Linked DNA regions of Mus musculus. The protein of the gene in region 1 purifies or fractionates together with the protein of each later gene. This does not show direct contact. Links are inferred from orthologs where the notes say so. Each region holds a gene or a part of one and is shown on either strand. Other genes may lie near its edges. The genes, in order: Fbxo22 and Kdm4b.

What was found.
Region 2: the proteins of Fbxo22 (region 1) and Kdm4b purify together in Homo sapiens (affinity purification with western blotting; 3 studies listed by BioGRID, with this or other methods). This does not show direct contact. The link is inferred for Mus musculus from reciprocal best matches to the Homo sapiens genes FBXO22 and KDM4B.

The regions. Positions count from the first base shown.
Region 1 is NC_000075.6:55,221,631-55,224,941, forward strand, and holds the end of Fbxo22 (F-box only protein 22), read left to right. Parts: intron 1-1,609; coding exon 1,610-2,027; 3' UTR 2,028-2,803; downstream 2,804-3,311. UniProt on the Homo sapiens protein: Substrate-recognition component of the SCF (SKP1-CUL1-F-box protein)-type E3 ubiquitin ligase complex that is implicated in the control of various cellular processes such as cell cycle control, transcriptional regulation, DNA damage repair, and apoptosis.
Region 2 is NC_000083.6:56,324,494-56,328,942, forward strand, and holds the start of Kdm4b (lysine-specific demethylase 4B), read left to right. Parts: upstream 1-1,556; 5' UTR 1,557-1,736; intron 1,737-4,449. UniProt on the Homo sapiens protein: Histone demethylase that specifically demethylates 'Lys-9' of histone H3, thereby playing a role in histone code. Does not demethylate histone H3 'Lys-4', H3 'Lys-27', H3 'Lys-36' nor H4 'Lys-20'.

The DNA.
Region 1 (3,311 bases):
TTTGAGTAAGGCTAAAATAAATTAATACACATGGCTTTTACTTCAGTAGAATTGAGTGTAACTGGGCAGTAGAGGTTTCATAGAAACAAATAAGGAAGACTGAGTTTTTAAGGGAAAGGGGAATTCTAAGGTGAGGTTGAGGCACCTTGTTGTAAACAGTGTTCCATGGCCCTTGTGTGGAAGTCATCTTAAATGAGCTGAGACTAGCCTGGTGCTGAGATCTCTGCATATGCTGAGTACACACAGGAGGGACGATTGCAAGGAGGTGGGCAGCAAATGAGCAGAAGTCCCACAGTTGGACCCTGCAAGCTCATCTTTCTAAGCAATTACTTGAAGATTGAGTTCTTATGTCTAAAGCAAACTTCAGCCTCTTAAAGACATCTCTGTGGTTCACAAATTATCCTGGTTAGACTATAAAGTTGTTACATGGGCCAGGTCTTCATGGAAAAACTTGTCAGGCTCTAACCACTTGCATTGGAGGCAGGATCTCTCTGTGGCATCTCTAACCTTTTTCCCCCAGAGAGCAGCAGCTTATGGGTATATTACTAGTATTCCTTGGTCTTCGTTTTTGGGAAATGTATACCAGATTTTATTTTGCGTGTATGTATATGCCCCAGTGATGCTTGATAGCTTTGTTTCTTGTTACCCCAGAGAACTTTGCCCATTCTATAGAGTCAGTTGTTGATAAATGTCATAGGGACTTAAGGTGTATGTTTCTTCCCAGTGAGTAGTCAGTATAAGTTTTATAACTTAATGCATTTTCTTTTGTAAGGATAAAAGTCCCATTCATTAAAAAAAAGTCTTAACAGGGCTGATGCAGCACTTGTCACAAGAACTGACAACCTCAGTTCAATCCTTGGCCACACAGGTGACAAGAGAAAGGACTCCTGAGCGCTCCATCCAAATGCTGTCTGTGTAGACTGAGCACATGAGTGCAGGTGCCCGCAGAGACCAGAGAGGTTACTAGTCTCTGGAGCTGGAGTCACAGGTGGTTAGGAATCGCCTGATGTAGGTGCTCAGAACCAAGATGGGAGCTTCTGTAAGGGCAGGAGCTGCTCTTTCCCTGAGCCACCTCTCCAGCTATCCCTACCCCAAGTTGTGAAGCTTTAAAATTCAAATGAGTCAAATTTCAGGCTCAAAGCAATAAACCAGCAGGGAAGCTGAAACCTGCAGAGTTGAAATTACCCTCCATGATTACATTTTTAATATATCTTTTTCATAATTTAACAGTGGATGGGCTGAAGTGGAGGAAGGTGCATGCTTTGCCTAGGTATCGAGGGGTGGGACGTCAGTCAGTGACAGTGCTTGCCAACACCTCCACTGCAAAGCCATGTCTATGTGCACCTACCTACTAGGTTCCGTTTAGAATGGTCAGATAGCGAGTTACTGGGAACTACTAATCCAGGAGGAGCTTTTGTATAGTGTATTTGTGCCTGAAAAGGGCAGCTGCTTGCCTTTTTTGATCTGCCCTGTTTTTTAATAACAGTTTAATTTTACTCCTTGTCTGAGAGGGATAAACCTCAGACCAAAGCTTAGGTTGCCAAAGGCAGCAGATCTTTTCCCCTTAGTCAGTCAGGAGGTGTTGATGGTTTTCTGTTTCTATTTCCAGGAACCCTCTGGATATTGATGCCACAGGTGTGGTTGGACTGTCATTTAGTGGGCACCGAATCCAGAGTGCCACAGTTCTCCTCACTGAGGATGTAAATGATGCCAAGACCGTCGAGGCTGCTATGCAGCGCCTCAAAGCAGCCAACATCCCTGAACAGAACACCATTGGCTTCATGTTTGCATGCGTTGGCCGAGGCTTTCAGTACTACAGAGCCAAGGGGAATGTTGAAGCTGATGCATTTAGAAAGTTCTTTCCCAGTGTCCCCTTATTTGGCTTCTTTGGAAATGGGGAGATTGGCTGCGACCGGATAGTCACTGGGAACTTTATACTGAGGAGATGTAATGAGGTAAAGGAAGAGGACCTGTTCCATAGCTACACAACCATCATGGCTCTCGTTCACCTGGGAACCTCTAAATGAGCCGCCTCGCTGAGAGCACCTTTCACACCATGTAACTTTGGGGGTTTCTCTTTTTTAGGAAAATGGAAACTCGGGATCCAAATATTTTAAGCAAAACTAGCTATGTGTGTTTTGTAGCTTTGGGTGACGCTCTGAGGTCACTTTGGGATGATTTTTTTAATACATAGATGAAGGACAGCATTAACATTGTAAGCACACAAGTCAAGAAGTGAGGCTGTGGTTAGGCGCAAGCAAAGCTGCCGGGGCTGAACTGCCCCAGATTCTGTAGCCACTGCATAAGCGCCCTGCGAGGTTGAGGGCCACCAGGAAGGTGGAGGTTTAAATAGTGCTTGATGAACTTTTAGCAGAATCATGACTTAAGAAAGGAGAAAATTGCCAGGCGTGGTGATGCGCACCTTTAATCCCAGCACTCGGGAGGCAGAGGCAGGCAGATTTCTGAGTTGGAGGCCAGCCTGGTCTATAGAGTGAGTTCCAGGACAGCCAGGGCTACAGAGAAACCCTGTCTCGAAACCCCCACACACCCCCCCTAAAAAAAAGAAGAAAGGAGAATTAAAGAACTGGTTTGAGAAGTTTTGCAGAAGCTGTAACAAATATTACTGACTTTTTACTTTTCTGATGAACAGTCTGTTTTGTTACTGTATAAAGTCGTTCTTTTTGTGAGTTAGCTTTTTCCTCTTCATAGTAAAGAGACTGCAAGGGAACAGCCTTTATCACACAGTTCTGAAAATCATCACCATATTTTGTTTGTACACCAATAAAACATACTTCCCACTCAACTGGTGTTGTAATTATTGCTGTTGATAAGAGGATGAAGGATATAACTGGCTCTTAACAGTAACCCAGACTGAGGGGGAGGTGTGTAAGCAGCAGCCCCTCAGTATCCACGTTTACATTGCACACTTTACTCATGCCTGCCTTCCCAACAATGGCGTGACCTTTGTTTGCTCTGTTCTTATTGCTTGGAATATGGGCAGGTCACCTTGGACACTGCAGAGATGTCAGTACTCCATTGTGGTGGGGATCACAGAGGGATCCTGGGTCTCTTTACACTGTGTTGTTGGCCCCTCACAGTGGACCCAGGCTGCCTGCTTCTAGCTTGTGTTACAGGCAGAAGTTAACATGGACTTGTTGCAGGATGTTCTTACAAGGTAACATTTCTGTATTGTTCAAAGGTTTGTACTAATAGGACAATAGATACTTTATAAATAAAATCAAATACAGGTATTAAAAAAGTAATTGCTGGTTTGTCACAAAAAAACAAATGCCTAGAAATGCCAACTGCTG
Region 2 (4,449 bases), on another chromosome or scaffold:
GTCCGAAGGACAAAGGACTCTTCCTCCACCCTGTGGGTCACACAAGTCATCTGGCTAGAAGGCAAGTTTACTGAGCTGTTTCACCTGAGACAGGGTCTTATGTAGTTGCCCTGGCTGGCCTCCAGCTCAATGTAACTAAAGATGATGGTGTAGTCCAAATTCTGAGTACATGGTGACTGGCGTGGGTGATGGCTGTTCTCTTTACATTGCACAATGAAGAGCAATGGAAACAATTCAAGACTCGTCTAGCTTGGAATAATTTATGTGTAACCTTGAGAGTTAGTGAATTAGCAACAGACTAGGGGGGTAGAACAAATATCTTGGGTGCACAAAGAACCTGCTCTAAGGAGGGTACTTTCCAGATGTTAGATATTAAAGTAGAAGGATTTCTAGTCTACCCCATAAAACAGGAATGTTGTCACCTCTGCTTGCTCAAGTATAGAAGCCGTAATGGTAGTTTGCAAAGCAGGCTCTGGATAAAAGAGCTTGCAGTGAAGCCTAACAACCCAGATGACAAACTCCAGAGTTGCCCTCTGACCTGTAGAGGTATATACCACACATATATACAAAATAATAAAAATTTAAAATTATAAATGCATATTGATGGGGATGATATCAGACCTTAACTAAATGCTCTTGAGTGCAGGGTGACTGGTGTGGTGATGCTGTTCCCTTCACATCGCACAATGAAGAGATGGAAACAATTGTGTGGAGCAGGGGCTTGGACACCTGTAGCTGGAATTTGGGTGCCCAGGCCTCCAATTTGCAATACGCTGAGCTAGAGAGTAGGACCTAGGACATTTTGAGAAGTAGATAATTGAATCCTCTTCCACTGAGTTATTGCAACGCTTTCCATGGGTACAGCTATCAGTTCAAGGTGGGGGGTGGGGTGGACCAAGTCGCGCACGTTTTAGGGAACTCATGAACGTTTGGGGAGGGCAATATGGAACGCTTTTGAGATCCTCTTACCCTAGTTCGGCCTTTTGCAAAGCTGGGCTCAAATTCTGACTCTAGATCTAGAACTACTGGGTTTCGAACCACTGTCTCCGGACCCAGAGCTGATGTTGTGCAGGAAATCACGTACTCAGCAGCCGCCCGATCACAGGGTGGAGTCTGGAGCAGCAAGACAGCGATTGACATTCAGTCGCAACCATTCGGCACCCAGAGACCGGTACCAAACACCAATCCGCGTTTGTCTCAGTAAAGTCTGAGAACGCGCTTGTCAATCTGCGTGAGCTCGGGGCTATCCTACACCCGACCGCAGCCGGATTGGCTGTGTGCATCTTGACGGGCATGCTTCGTACCCACTGAAAGCTGAGCCGGTCACTAGGCACGTGAGTGGGTGCCGGCACGTCCTCGGGGTTGGACCAATGAAGGGAAGAAATCGAGTGCCTGCTCCCGCCCCAGGTCGCGGAGGGCGGGGCCGCTCGGTGTTGATGAGGGGAGGGGTGGAGCTGTCAGCCGCCACCAATCAGCGTGCGGGCGTGGGCTGAATGCCCAATGGCGGCCGAGTAGGAGCCGTCGCCCCGCCCCTCTGAAGCTTCGCCTCCCCGCCCCGGGCTCTTGCTGAGGGCTCGGCCGCGAGCGAGCGAACCATCGAAGGAGCAAAGAGACCGGGCGAAGCTCGGAGCCCAGTGGCCGGGGCGAGCGAGTGAGGGCCGGCGGGGGCGACGCGAGACGGCCGGGCACGCGCCGCTCAGCCTGCTGTCTGCGGCCCGGGCCGCGCGTTGCGCCAGGTGAGTGAGTGTGCGATCCGTGGCGGCGCTCAGCAGCTTCCAGGCCCCTTTGGGGGGCCGCGCGGCCGCCATGCCTGCCCCCACGCCGCACCTTGGGCCGCCGCGCGCACTCCAGGCCGAGGCTTTGGCTGCGGCCTACTCGGCTCCTCAGGGCGGCGGAGTACGCCGCGCTTTTGTCCGTTCGGGCGAAGCTGCTGTTTGTTGATCGACAAAACGATTGTGTGCCTGGGAAAGGAGGGTGTGTTTTTTTGGGGGTGGGTGGGGGGGGTTGACGATGGGGCCGGACAAAGGCGGGGCGGGGGCGGGGCGCCGCGTCCCCTTTCCAGGGCACAAAAGATGACAGCGTGGGTGGCCCGGTCCAGCCATCCCTTCAACAACCCCAAATCCTTAAAAATAAAAAACCCACTCCAAGTCCCTGCTCCCCGCCGCTTGCATTTTGGTTCCCTTTGGTTTGGAGCTGTCCCCTCCAAACACTCACCCATCATGGCCTTGCAAACTTGACCCCCGCATGTCCAGAATCTGTAAATCACCATATAATCTGCATTTTAAAAATGAAAATAAATAGTACACGTATCTGCTATTGCAATGGCAGCCTTTCCACCTCGCTTCTGTACCCTGGTCTCTTTGCTTTCCAGCTCCCTTCTTTCTGTAAGCCATGAAATGTGCAGTTTTCCGCGTGCACACTAGTCCAGGGCATCCCGGCAGACAGGGAAGCTTGGCAAAGCTGGGGACAGCTGGGGGTGGCTTTCCTACTGCCATATCCTGGGGGGTTTTGGGGGTTCTGTTAGGGGTTTCGGTCAGCCAGCTGAGAGTATAAGGGATTCCAGGTTTGCAGATTTGATGCTGTAACTGGTGCGGTTTGGCCATTACGGTTCGGGCATCGCGGTTCCTTGTCCCATCTGTCTGAAAGGGGGGGGGGCGGGGCGGAGGATGGCATCGCTTTAATAATTAACACCTGGGGAAGTGTCTTGCCGGAGTAGTTGCTAGTTTTTTTCAACTATGGAGAGGATGGATCCGGTATGTTTCAAAAAGCAAAAAGAAAGAGTGTATCTTTCCCTGTAACCAAGTGGGATTTGCTCAGCCTGCAGCCTGGTGCCAGCACCTTCATAGGCGCTGAGGATCTTGGTTGCAGAAGGTTGGGGGGTCCGGGATGTCTCTGTGTCCCATTAGTTGTGTATCTGACAGTCCCCAGGCTGGAGACTGCACTGTTCCCCAAACAGCTCCTGCCTCAAAATGGGTTCATTACGTGGGTCTTCAGGGGCTCCTACCACTACCAGGAAAGGGCTAATCACTCTCTTTAATTCTCCAGTAATTGCTGCCTTCAGAGTCACCAAAAGGGCGTGTCTCCAGACTGGGCCAACCTTTTCTTCCCACCCTGCTCTAGCTGTAGTCAGCTTTCTTCTTCCCTTCCTTTTTTCCCCAAGCCTTGTGGGTGTTCTGTATCTAAACTTGTAGGGTCCCTATGCAAGACTCCAGTCAAACTTTTCATCCTCTCCCTAGGAGGGCAGGAAGCCTGACTGTCATGGGGTGTTTTGATGTTTGGGGTGGAAATGTCCTTGTGCCAGGTGCTCCATGTACCTGTGCATATCCAGGCGCACCTGTGAATGTGTGTGTTCTAAGCTGGGATTGTATAGGTCTGATTGACAAATGATTTTCTAATCCTTTCCTCCCGGGGAGAGGGCTGCTGAGGAGATATCATAGTACACTTTGTATCTGGAGACTCAGTTACAGTCTTGTAGATATTTGTCTGTAGCCTGTAGCCTGTCTCCTTCCCTGCCCCAGGGGCCCCTCTGTTTTCCCTGCCTGCCCAGCCCTTACTTAGACTTTCTGTTCTTGCTTCCCACCTCTGCTGGGCCCCTTCTCACATTGTCCTGGGAGCCCCAGCACTAGGTAGCCATCTGTCCCTGTGCTACCTGACACCTGTGGGGAGTCAACAAGCTGTCAGATCACTCAGGGGCCTGGGGCTCCTTGGGAGTGCTGGGAAGAGGCTGATCTGGCTAGCCCAGTATCCATAAGACAGTGAGGTGCTTGGGTATTCGAGTGCATGCGTGTGTGCTCACGCTTGTGGTGTAGAGGTGTGGGCTGTGATGTACTTCCTGATGGTTGTCTCTGGAACTGGAGGTGGGGTGGAGGGTTCAGGGCCTGGTGGCCTTGGGCTTGTCACTTGCTCCAGAAGCAAGATTTAGAGCCACCAGTCTGCCAAAGCCTCCTGGGAACAGGGGACAGGGAGTAGACTATAGCAGATGGCCTGCCTCTGGAGAGACCTGTCACTGCAGGGCCCATGGGGGGCAGGGACTGGGCTCTGCTCACCATACTTGGAGTTCAGGCTATGGTGGAATCCCAGAGGTCTGGATTGACATCCCTCCCTCAGCAGGTGCCTTTCCTGCTCTGTGCAGCATCCTGACTCCCTCTTTATCTATAGCGTTGGCCTCAGGTGGCCTTGAGGATCAAGAGCTAGGGGCCAGGAGTTTGGATGCTTTCTGCTCTGCACTAGTGTTCCCACTGGCTCAGTTCACTGTGACTTGGTCACCCCTGGGGTGGGCGTTCGTTGTACTAGATGTGCAGCTGGCCCTTACCCACACCTTGCTGGTACCTCACTTTCAGCCCTGTAGCTCCATCTGCCTATGTCCCAGCTACCGCTTCTCACTGCTCCCTTCACTCTGCCTTCAGTGACCAGTGGTTCTGTTTGCTCTTGCACCCCACTATTTCCCCC